3 linked regions of the Daphnia pulex genome follow. The protein of the gene in region 3 binds, or shares a complex with, the protein of the main gene of each other region. Links are inferred from orthologs where the notes say so. Each region holds a gene or a part of one and is shown on either strand. Other genes may lie near its edges. The genes, in order: gem-associated protein 2-like, gem-associated protein 5-like and serine-threonine kinase receptor-associated protein-like.

What was found.
Region 1: serine-threonine kinase receptor-associated protein-like (region 3) and gem-associated protein 2-like share a complex: the UniProt entries of both Homo sapiens proteins name them as parts of the SMN-Sm complex. The link is inferred for Daphnia pulex from reciprocal best matches to the Homo sapiens genes STRAP and GEMIN2.
Region 2: serine-threonine kinase receptor-associated protein-like (region 3) and gem-associated protein 5-like share a complex: the UniProt entries of both Homo sapiens proteins name them as parts of the SMN-Sm complex. The link is inferred for Daphnia pulex from reciprocal best matches to the Homo sapiens genes STRAP and GEMIN5.

Annotation. Positions count from the first base shown.
Region 1 is NC_060025.1:2,087,140-2,090,214, forward strand, and holds gem-associated protein 2-like, read left to right. Parts: upstream 1-1,297; 5' UTR 1,298-1,373; coding exon 1,374-1,477; intron 1,478-1,548; coding exon 1,549-1,633; intron 1,634-1,691; coding exon 1,692-1,847; intron 1,848-1,917; coding exon 1,918-2,028; intron 2,029-2,083; coding exon 2,084-2,362; 3' UTR 2,363-2,501; downstream 2,502-3,075. Other genes in the region: endoplasmic reticulum protein SC65-like, read right to left, coding at 29-353, 418-470, 535-895. UniProt on the Homo sapiens protein: The SMN complex catalyzes the assembly of small nuclear ribonucleoproteins (snRNPs), the building blocks of the spliceosome, and thereby plays an important role in the splicing of cellular pre-mRNAs.
Region 2 is NC_060024.1:12,897,075-12,901,390, forward strand, and holds the start of gem-associated protein 5-like, read left to right. Parts: upstream 1-1,503; 5' UTR 1,504-1,630; coding exon 1,631-1,835; intron 1,836-1,899; coding exon 1,900-2,024; intron 2,025-2,081; coding exon 2,082-2,319; intron 2,320-2,387; coding exon 2,388-2,428; intron 2,429-2,497; coding exon 2,498-2,782; intron 2,783-2,841; coding exon 2,842-3,196; intron 3,197-3,258; coding exon 3,259-3,795; intron 3,796-3,869; coding exon 3,870-4,021; intron 4,022-4,077; coding exon 4,078-4,316. Other genes in the region: CD63 antigen-like, read right to left, coding at 206-355, 421-546, 602-772, 854-1,033, 1,113-1,178. UniProt on the Homo sapiens protein: The SMN complex catalyzes the assembly of small nuclear ribonucleoproteins (snRNPs), the building blocks of the spliceosome, and thereby plays an important role in the splicing of cellular pre-mRNAs.
Region 3 is NC_060026.1:10,623,394-10,626,925, reverse strand, and holds serine-threonine kinase receptor-associated protein-like, read right to left. Parts: upstream 2,228-3,532; 5' UTR 2,034-2,227; coding exon 1,910-2,033; intron 1,851-1,909; coding exon 1,560-1,850; intron 1,497-1,559; coding exon 1,372-1,496; intron 1,310-1,371; coding exon 1,197-1,309; intron 1,133-1,196; coding exon 984-1,132; intron 929-983; coding exon 735-928; 3' UTR 583-734; downstream 1-582. Other genes in the region: uncharacterized protein LOC124205018, read left to right, coding at 1-260, 320-453; intraflagellar transport protein 43 homolog, read left to right, coding at 3,417-3,428, 3,491-3,532. UniProt on the Homo sapiens protein: The SMN complex catalyzes the assembly of small nuclear ribonucleoproteins (snRNPs), the building blocks of the spliceosome, and thereby plays an important role in the splicing of cellular pre-mRNAs.

The sequences.
Region 1 (3,075 bases), on a different chromosome or scaffold from region 3:
AACCTGCTTTGATGTTGTATAAACATACTTGAGATGCTGGAAATGAAATCAGGAAACCAGCCTTGATCAAAGGGACCCTCACAATGAGCTCTGCATTCTTCTTCTGCTTGCAAGTATTCTACCAAGGAAAGCTCCATGTTGGTTGTAGTTCTGTCATAGTCCTTCTTTTTGTAGGATTCACTGCCACGAATGTAGAATTCAACATAGGGTTTAGCTTCAAGGTTGATGACATAGTTGGGATCCACTTTCAATTCATTGATGAAAAATCTAAGATTTTCTTTCATCACAGTATGGTTTAAATTCATAGTTAAGAAAGTGTAGGCACAGGAAGCTGCCTTGATATTATCGTTGGTCTGAAATAATCCAAACACAAAAGTTTAAGTAAATAATAAAGAAAATGTGATGTAGGATACTAACCTTGAAGTAGCAAAGCTGAAGATAGTCATAAGGTTTCAAAGTGTCAAAATCATCTGTTTAAAATGTAAAAATTTTTAAAAACAGAAAACATATTTGATGAAGATAAGACTGTCTAACCTGCAACTTTACGGTCAACAATTTCTGCACGGTTCTTCAAAATATCTTTCTTGCATTTCAGTAAGCAAAGTGTCTTCTTTATCATCTTTTCCCATAATTTCATATCTTCCAACTGTGGAGACACCAACGGTTTGTCAAAAGATTCCTTGAGACATTCCAATCGACAGCCCACCACAGCATCTTTGTAAAAATGATAATCTTCAATGGCTTCGTTCATACGCGTGACGCACTCATCCCATTGCTCATTTAGATATGCTTCTACTGCCTGGCTGTAAAGAATATCGTACGAATTGGCAGGATCAGCTTTTGTAGCAGAGCAAAAGTAAACCAAGAGGGACAAAAAACAAGCTTTAAACAACATATTCTTACAATATATAATAAGGCTTGACAAAATAAAATAACATGGGCAGACTATGGAGCTATGGAGCAAGGGGAGGTTATCTTTGTGACTGCTCCACGTTAACAGTCAAGATGCCCTATGCAAAGAAGAGGGGTACATATATGCGTGAGAAAACATCTGTTAAAAACCTTAAACAAATTCTCGTGTTTCAATGTTTTGACTTAAAAGCAACATTGCCAATTATGAATAACGCAATCATGAAATTAATTAATCTTGAATTCTTTCAAATTTGAATTATATTTTTCAATTGCTGGTGGTTTTTTAACCGTGAATCGTGAGATGACAGGTAAGTGCAATAATTTAAATTTTTAAGTAAATAGAGCTGACAAATTAAAGTGATGTAGATGTCGCTTGCGTCTGAGCAAATAGTGGCGCAGAACCGCAGACGACAACTTAAACTTCAAAACAAACAACTGAAATCATTTGTGAAATTCCAGGCATGGATGAGTTCCTCCATAAAGCGCTTTACGTCGAGGAAACAGACGAGGATATCGATTTTGAGTCTGCGCCCAGTACAGGCCAAGAATACTTGAGAAGAGTTATGTAAGTCATGAAAACTTGTGTGTTAATAAATTGTATCACTATAAATTCATGCTGCCGGTTTATTTGGATAGAGTCGAATCGCGAAAATGCGAAGCGGTTGTAGTTGCCGATATGAAAGGAAAGAAGCTCAAAGCCCAAACTGTCAAATACACTACGGTAAGTTTCATTTTATTCAAATTTATTGATCTAGTCTGTCATTTCTGTGTAAATTCAGGACTCTGGCTGCCCACCTGCACCAGAAGTTTTCCTACCTTCAAAAGAATGGCAACAATTCCAAGTCTCTCAGTTTTCCTGCCTCAGGAGCCGCATGGCAAAACACTTGGCCAGGCTGAAAAAACAAGGAATTCAAATGAAACCGAATACAACCCTGGTAAGATCTTTGCTGTTGCAATGGCTTCCAGATAAATGAGTTTGGTCTTAATTATCCCTTCCAATTGTAGCCTGCTGGAGACAAAGAAAAGGAATGGTCAGTGTTGTGCTATGGTAACCCTGAGGATGAAAAGCCTTGTGGAACACCACCTATGCTCCCCATCATTTTATCCCTCAACCAGGTATATGAAAGTCACCTACTTCTCAGCATTCACACTATTATTTCTGTTGATGCAGTTTATGGTGGAGACTCTACTAGAGTACAACGTACAATGGCTGGAGGAGACGAATTTTACTCAGCAAAGGGGTCAGTGGCTCTACGCTCTACTTGCCAAATTGGAGAAACCTTTGAAACCCGAAATGTGTAGCCTCATCAGAACACTGGCACGTTTGTGTAGCACATTCCGAGTTCAATTAACCTCGGTCGACGACCCGCTGTTGGCCCAGCTCAATCTTTTCATATGTCTAGTCGGTCGTTACTTTGATCAAAGTGATTTAGCCGATCCGATGAAATGATTTAAACGCGAACAACGAACATTTCTGGTAACACATTTCCCGCATTGTATTTTTATTTTATTTTTCTTTTGCTCGCCATTTTGTAAGAAATAAAAAATGACTGATGGTAAATATAGTAAAGATCGTGGGTGAATAAGAACATGCATGTGGCTGATGGTATTACATTTAACACTTTTTTTGTTTTTTATTCGGGAGGGATAGGAAGAGGAGCTGAGTTGCATTCGTTTTTTTTTTCTCCCCCATTTTTCAGTGATGGCAAAAGTGGTGGGTGAAAATAAGAAGATTATAGCAGTTACATGTATAATAGCTGGAGGAAGAAAGAATTGAAGGGAAGGTCGGACAGAGATTTTAGAATTAGAATTTGCGTGTGTTTCTTCACAATTCCATTGATTCAACAGTATATAGAGATACGTTAGAAAAATTTGAACTTTCCCATCGATTGAACGAACCAACACAGGAAGGAAACGAAAAAGTGTAAGGAGAGGCGATGCCAATATATTTCTTATATATATTGTTTCTTTTTTATTCATTTTTTTGTTTTTTGTTTTGTTTTATTTACTGCATCCAATCTCCTCCGTTGTGTTCTCCTTCAGCAGATGAAACTGTCGCAAAAATTCAATATTATATCATGAAACATTTTTTCTTCTTTTTTAAATATTGAAAGTGTGAATGTGACATCTGGGATCGACGGCGGAGGAGAAACTCGACAAAGT
Region 2 (4,316 bases), on a different chromosome or scaffold from region 3:
AGGTCAGGGGGATACCCCCCTTTTTGATATGACGTTTCTTTCAGTTGTCAATGATTGAACTCACTCGTTTTTTCACCCTCGATTGTACTTTTGCGGGCCTTTCCACAGTGTGATTAATTCGTAACAATAAATTGAGATGACCTGATACGGGCGTCTATTCTTTTCACAATCAAATTTTTCCTTTTTGTAGCAACAAACAAATTAACTATTGATAGACAGGATCACTCGGAACGCAGCGGACTAGAAAAATGACAAGAATGATTTGAAAAGGTAGGAATATCGTAATGGCAATCCCAATTGCGGTTATTTTGGCGAAGAGGGCATCGACCGACTTCATCATGCTCGAGACACAATCCTGTAAAGTGAGAATTAAGTTTAAACTAAATTTAATGTAACTGATTAATAATAATATTTAATTACTTCTTGGTATATATTCTTCAGATAGGAAGTGTCGCATCCTGATTTAACGCAACAGGAATCAGGAATGAATGAATATCCTGCTACGCTGTTCCAGTCCTTGTAGCTATCAACGCCACAACACTGGAACTAAACCAAGCGCTTTATCACGTCAGCCGACTAATTTCCAAGTAAACTAATTTACCATTTGTTGGGTGATATCCATTCCAGTTTTCCCACTTCCGTCGGGATCGAAATACATCATTTCGCGCATAGACTCTCTAATGTCTTGCTTGACTTTAGTACCGAAATCAGGACCGAACGCCACCAAAAGTCCAACCATGGCAATGAACAACAGTACGAGGAAACCTGCATACTGTCAAGTGTCAACGTCTCTTTAATACGATTCACTACGGATACAGATAGGGAGAAAGAAAATTATTTTTATTTTACTCACTATGTAGTAAAAAACAGAACTGCCGTCAATAGTGAAACAACAGTTAAGCGTCGTCATAACGATCAGTATGACTCCTATGACAACAGCAAGACTTCCGATTTTCAATTCAGCCGAGAGTATGGATGTTAGCCGAGTAGATTCTTCAGCTAGTCCAAATCCAAGTAAACACATTCCGAGAACCTACCATGTTTCGTAATAATTACTTGTGTCACTCATTGATTGCAATGAGTTTTCGTAAATAATAAAGAATTAAGCGTACCAGTAATAGAACATTTATGAACAAATGTAGAAATGCACAAGCGAAACTGCATCTTCCGGTCTCCATATTGCTCACTGAAACTCTGGAACATGACAAACAATATCAGCCTACATTCACACATCTATCGACGTTTATGAGCGTAAGCTATTCTTCGAAATAAGTGACGAATTCCTTTTGACGCGCACATTTCGAACAAGGTTCGTTGATTTCTGATTTGATGAGGAACAATTCGAGCTACCCTTGGAAGCGGCCAAGAATTGTTTTATTTTATGCAACACGAAGGATCGCTCATGATTCATAATAACGAATTTTTTCTGAGCGTTATTTAAAGAATTATTACAACTTCTTAACTTATCCCATCTCAAAAATAAATTATGTAATATCTGCTTTTAGTAAGGTTTACTGTTTAGCACCACCTTTGTCGTCTGTGCACGTTGTTTTGAAATTGTTCGCACATGGTGCGTATATGTAAGATTTAGTTTTCAACTTAAAGAAATTGTACAAGTTAAACTTGTAGGATGACAGAAAATAAAAAAGAGATTGTGATTCCTCCATCTCCAAATTGGTATCTGAGTGGTGCTTTTGAATGTCACAAAAAGTCTGGAGTATTAGTTTATGCTGCTTCGCGATGCCTCGTCTTTGTGAAATCTTGTAATGTAGGAGATAATTTCAGTTATCCTACAACTAATGTCATCCCGGACGCCCACAGGAATAAAATTACTTGTTAGTTTAGCATAAACTTCCTTAGGTTCACTTTTCAATTAATCGGTTTTGTTTTCATATGAAGGTGTGTCTTGGTATCAGCCCTCAGAAGAGAATAATTTGTTGCTGAGTAGTGCTGGAGAAGATGGTTCTATTTGTATATGGAAATATAATGATTTGAGTCTTGTATTTGAACAAAATGCACATCAGGTAATATTTGTAAAACATATTGTCAAGCTACAAATCTAATTTGACATCTTTTTCTAGGAGCAAAAAATTTCTTGTCTAAGTTGGTCTTCTCTACTGGATAAGAAAATCTTGGCATCATCAAGTGAAGATGGGACCATCATAATAACAGAGCTACTATTGAGCTATGAGAGTTGCAGCACTCGGAAGCTCAATTATGGGAAAATAAACCCTCTTATGCTGTCATTCAATCCCCACATTCCATGGCAGCTGGCCATTGGCTGTAAAGGTGGATTGCTGTACATATGTGATGTTAGAGGTAATGATTCAGTACTTGCTCTAACATTATCATGATTTTTCATCACACATATCATTGATTTCATTTAGAAAACCGTGGTATAATTCATAAACTGCGAGCTCACGAAGATGTAATAAGTTTAACCAGTTTTGCGTTTTCCCATGAAGTGTCGTCATTAATTCACAACAAATTCTTTTAGGATCTACACAACATCGTTTGGTGCCCTTTGAAAGGAAATGTATTTATTTGTGAAAAAGAAAAGAAGGAAACATTCTTGGCGACTTCGGGCCGAGATAAAACTATTAAAATCTGGGCCACTAACGAAGGAAAATGTGTCAGCCAATCAAAACTTCCTGGCAATACTGGAGTCCATCGCCCTCGGTCTACTCAGGATGATAAACGTGCGACCTGGGTAGCCTTACATTGGCTAAACGAAAAACATATTTTGAGCAGTGGACTCAGTGGTGAACTTATCTTGTGGGAGGTCAGAATTTTAAGTTAAATTTTTATTTGCATGAATTTAATCAATTTGTTTTGCTGTAGGTTGGGCCCAAATTGTCTTGGAAGATCGTTCACAAGCTTCACAGCCGTGGACTCTTCAATATTTCTTCATACATGACTGGAGAAAACCAGGAAATGATTTGGACTTCGGCGCAGGATCGTAATGTTATTCTTTGGCCCATAGTGGAAGGCCACGTACCAAAAGAAGTGTTAGGCATTCAAGAAATGGAGAATCCGCATCTTTGTATGCCAACCATGGGTGGTTTCATCTACGTCATGAATATCAATCCCATCGATTCATCCCAAATGGCTGTGGGATTGGGAGACTGCTCCATCAGACTATGGAATATGGCAGCTGCGAAACCTGACATGATGATGCTGTGGAATGGAATCAAAGGTGATGAATATATAATCTACTTATGCAGTATAGAGAGTAAAATTGCAATTCAATCATAACAGGCAAAGTGAGTGGATTAGCGTGGCATCCGACAATAGAGGGCCGGTTGGCATTTGGAACCGATGAAGGACGCGTAGGAATATTTGACACACTGTCGCTAACTAAACCACCTCAATTGAGTCGCACTTACCACAAGGGTACCGTATACAATTTATCCTGGGCTACCCTGCCGTCTAAGGAAGGGATATTCCTCTACTCTTGTGGTGGGAACAACATTATGGTTCACGATCCATCAGCATTAGATACGGAAGCAAAAAATTTCAATAATTTGATCGCAAGCAAAGGAGAAAAAAATCAAAAGTTCCCTTCGCGTACGGAATTTCAATGGAAAGTGGACTTTTCTCTTCTAGCCGTAGGCAACGAAGACGGTTCTGTGGAAATCTATTCAGGCGGCGATTTATCTTTGCTAACGATTATCGTTGCGCATAAAAAACTTATTCAATGCCTTAAATGGCATCCGCCATTCACTTTCCAAAGTGTGGAACCTTCCAAATTTGAAAACTGGTTGGCAGTGGCTTCAAACGATGTGAACATCAAAGGTACGTGTAAATTTTAACTATCTTGACCCCTTTTGTTTTATTGACTGACTGACGCCTTTTTACTTTTGTTCCAGTTTTTAGCGTCGTCGTTGCCAACAACGACGAACCCGCAACATCCACACTTGCGGCTACTCTAAGCGGTCATAAAGAACGTGTGGTGTCGGTGGCTTGGAGCCCACATGAAGATGGAAAGCTTCTTTCTGCCAGTTATGATGGAACCGCACAGGTAAATCATTCTTAGACTTTTTAATTATACCCTTTTATTTTTACTTGCATTTGCAGGTTTGGGACGTGATCAACAAAGAGCAAGTGGCTAATTTTGGTGGCCATACCGGAAGATTGCTTTGTTGCGAATGGAACGCATTAGAACAGGATACGGCCGTTACAGGAGGAGACGACATGACTATTCGAATGTGGAAAGTTAAAGAACAAGTCTACAAGACACCTGCCGAATCTATTGCAGTCAAAACGTTGAAGGAACGAAAGAAAATACCATACAAACCCCCTCAATCTTCTTCTTT
Region 3 (3,532 bases):
GCAATTAAAAAAGAAGCCTGAGACGAACTCGAAAAGAGATGTGACAAATCTTAAGCAATGTAGAGATGAATCATGTGATTCATCGAAACCCACAGGAATAATTCATTCTACGATAGTCGACAACGGCCTTCCTAAAAACGACGAACTCGGAGGTTTTGAAGCGGTACCTTCCAAGAACACCCAAATTACACAAGATCCTGTTCACATCTTCAAGCCACCTAGTCCGCCATTGAGGGTTGCAGTGAAATGGAAACCACCAGGTAAATCAATCACAAGCCAATTAATTACTTTTCAAGTGTTGAACTTTTTTATTTCAAAGGTAAAGCCGGCGGTGGTGCAAATATTTTTTCAAATGGAAATTCAAATTCTCCTTCAACAGGAATTCGATTAGGTTTATCACGTAATCGTCGAGCAAGCAAGCCATTACACCCAGATGTCAAAGTGAAGATCTAACTAACAAGCGTTCGAAATAATTCTTATAAGAGTTTTTGTTTCTGGATTTACGCCTACTGTATACCTAATTCGTGCTTCACATTGAACCGTGTTGTCTTTGCCTTTTCGAAATTTGTATTTAAGTTTAAGGAATGGATGGATTCCTTGTATTTCCTGATGGCTCAAAAATGATATCGTCTTTACAAGTCGAGTGACCACTGTTATCGTGGTGTGAATAAGATCACTGAGGTTATAACTGGGAACAAAAAGGAATATAACTTGGTCATTTCCTCTGCTCCACTTCATGCCACAGTTTCGGTTTTAGCAGGTGAAGACAGAATTTCGGATGAAGTAGGAGTATCGCTGCTACACTTCCACAAACCATAGGATTTACCAACGGTAGTTTGCCATAAACGAAGGGTTCCATCCTCTGATCCTGACGCGTATAATTCACCATCGGGAGAAAAACGGACGCAATGAACTGGGCCAAAGTGACCTAAAAAAAAAGATATTGTTAATAAACACAACTACTGTCTATAGACAAGATTTACCTTTAAACGATTCTATTTCCTGTCCATTGGAATAATCCATTTTATACATTTTAAAGTCTTCGCCACCGCATACAAAGACTGAGCGTGAAGGATGTAATGAGGCCGAATGGACTTGGCTAGGCACTTGATATTCTTTTATTTTTTCAAAGCTGATGATTGCAACAAGAAGTTATTAAGCAAAGTATGTAAAATGAAAACCTATTTGTCGTTTACCTGGTTGTATTCCAGAAGCTGACTGTGTTCCCGCTAGCGACCGTTAATATGGAATCATCGTTAGAAACTTCAATGCCATTAGGGATCGAGGTAAAATCTATACGGTGAATTTCCTGTAAACGGAATATTAACAATTTTAATTTGAGAAGACGTAAAAAGATTAAATAGTCTGTACCTTTCCCGTTGAACGTTCCCAAAATCTAACGGTTCTATCGTCAGCACAACTAACTATCTTCTCTCCCTTACCAAGAAATGCAATATGTCTCAATCCAGAGGTATGGCCAGATATGATGAATGGATCTAAAAAAAAGAGAAGCTTCATGTTTTGTGTTTCTTAAATAATTTTTGAAGTACTTTATTTACCAGCAGTTGGATTATTCAAGTCATAAATGCGAAGAAGCTTTTCATTGCTTCCAGTAGCAAGCAAGCTCCCGTCTGGGGAAAAGGCCACACATTTGACTATATGCTGATGTTGGAAGGAATATATTTCTTCCCCTGTTACAGCGTCCCAGACTTTAGCAATGAAATCAGCAGCACCTGATGCAGCTTTGCTGGCATCTTGGCTTAAAGCAACTCCCCATACAGCTCCCTTGTGGCCCTCAAATGTGCCCAACCAGTCACCAGTATCTCCTTGCCTCATCATGGGTTTTCCATCTACATTTTTCTATAACGGTTAATGGATAAACTAAGAAATGAAATATATTAACAAATACCTTTGCATGCTGATATAAGAAAGTAACCTTTCTCCGTGAAACCGCTGAAAGCCAAGTCAACGACAGGCCTAGTGTGTCCACTGCAAGTTAAGGGTGTTTGTCGTAATGTAGTAGGAACTGCCATTATCCCAAAGTTATTTGGTTATTTAATACGGTCAGAGTCGAGATGGGAATTACTTGATCGGGCAGTCAAACTACAAAAGAAGCCACAAATTGGGGAATTGATGGTAAATTAAAGCCCCTTGGCTAACTTAGCAGGTTGTCGGTTGTCGGTGTTGCCGACTGCAGAACACTAGGATCATAGGGAAAATTATCCCGGCATTTGACGCCATCTGTGGCCAATACCGATAGCAATGCAGGACTTATGCAATTGTGCAAGAGTGACGTCAACTCACTTTTTAAGTAGAATGCCCCCAATTGATTATTCACACTCAGCACGCAAAATCAATCCTTTCTGAGCCGATTTTAATGCGTGGTTAAAAAGGTAAACGACGTACAGTGTGATCTGGGCCGATCACATAGATTTTTCATTGGGAAAAATCACAATAATCTAATGTGATTTAATTACTGTACCGTTCATGGGTATTGTACGGCTGCATTTTAGCCTTTAAAAAGTTCATTTTGTTGACGTAGAAAGAATTATAGATTTATAGTTAAAACGTACGTCATGTGGCGTTATTGAGCGGATGGTAAACTTTTACTATTAAAAAAAGAACTACAAGAACTGTCTGAGTATTATGTAGACATAATTAAGCTAAAGGTTGCTATACACAAAAGGTGCGCACAAAAACAAGAGCTTCCGGTTTCCCTAACTGTACTTATACAGGCTAGGCTACTAGGGATCGGATGAAACACTGTGCGGAAAATCATAGCGGACAAATCTTAACTGTTAAAATATACTGTAAGGTGTAAACGGCTAAAACGCAATTGCATTTTTTAATTCTGAATGTATCATTTAGTACTTTCTTGCTTTCTCAGCTAAATTTTTTCATTTTTAGAAAAACGCTAAACAAATATTGAATGTGTAAAATGTACAAGCAGCCCAAATATTTGTTATGCCAAAAATCGCAAACAATGTTTCAAGGGAACATCAAGAAAATTTTTCATTATTAGAACTAAAGTAATTGGTAGCCTAGTAAAGTGGGCGTTAAATGACAAAATGAGTAAACGGTGTTAATGAAAATATAGTGATATTTCGATTTTATCTATGTAGCACTGAAACGACAGTTAATGAGTTAAGCAAATAAATCGTAGCTAAAACTATAAATTATTGTAATTTGTCAAATATAATAAGCCTTATTTAAACCCAGTTTACCTTGCTCAGGTAAGAGACTAAGAGGTAACCATTCTGCGAAAAGTAAAATTTAGTTGTCCTGAAGCACCACCAGGAACACCATGGCATAAGTAACCATGGAAACCAATACTCGACTTGTTAGAGTTGTAGGCTATTTATTAAAGGTGCTGACTTGGCTCTGGCTGTCAATTTTAGCTACAAAGTGTTTCTCAAATGCACGAAGATGTAATGTAAAATTTCAATACGTACCTAATTTGTGTTAACCTTAACATTTGTAATCTTGACAGAAAAAATCGACGTCTCCTATTAAGAGCAATGGAACAAAAACA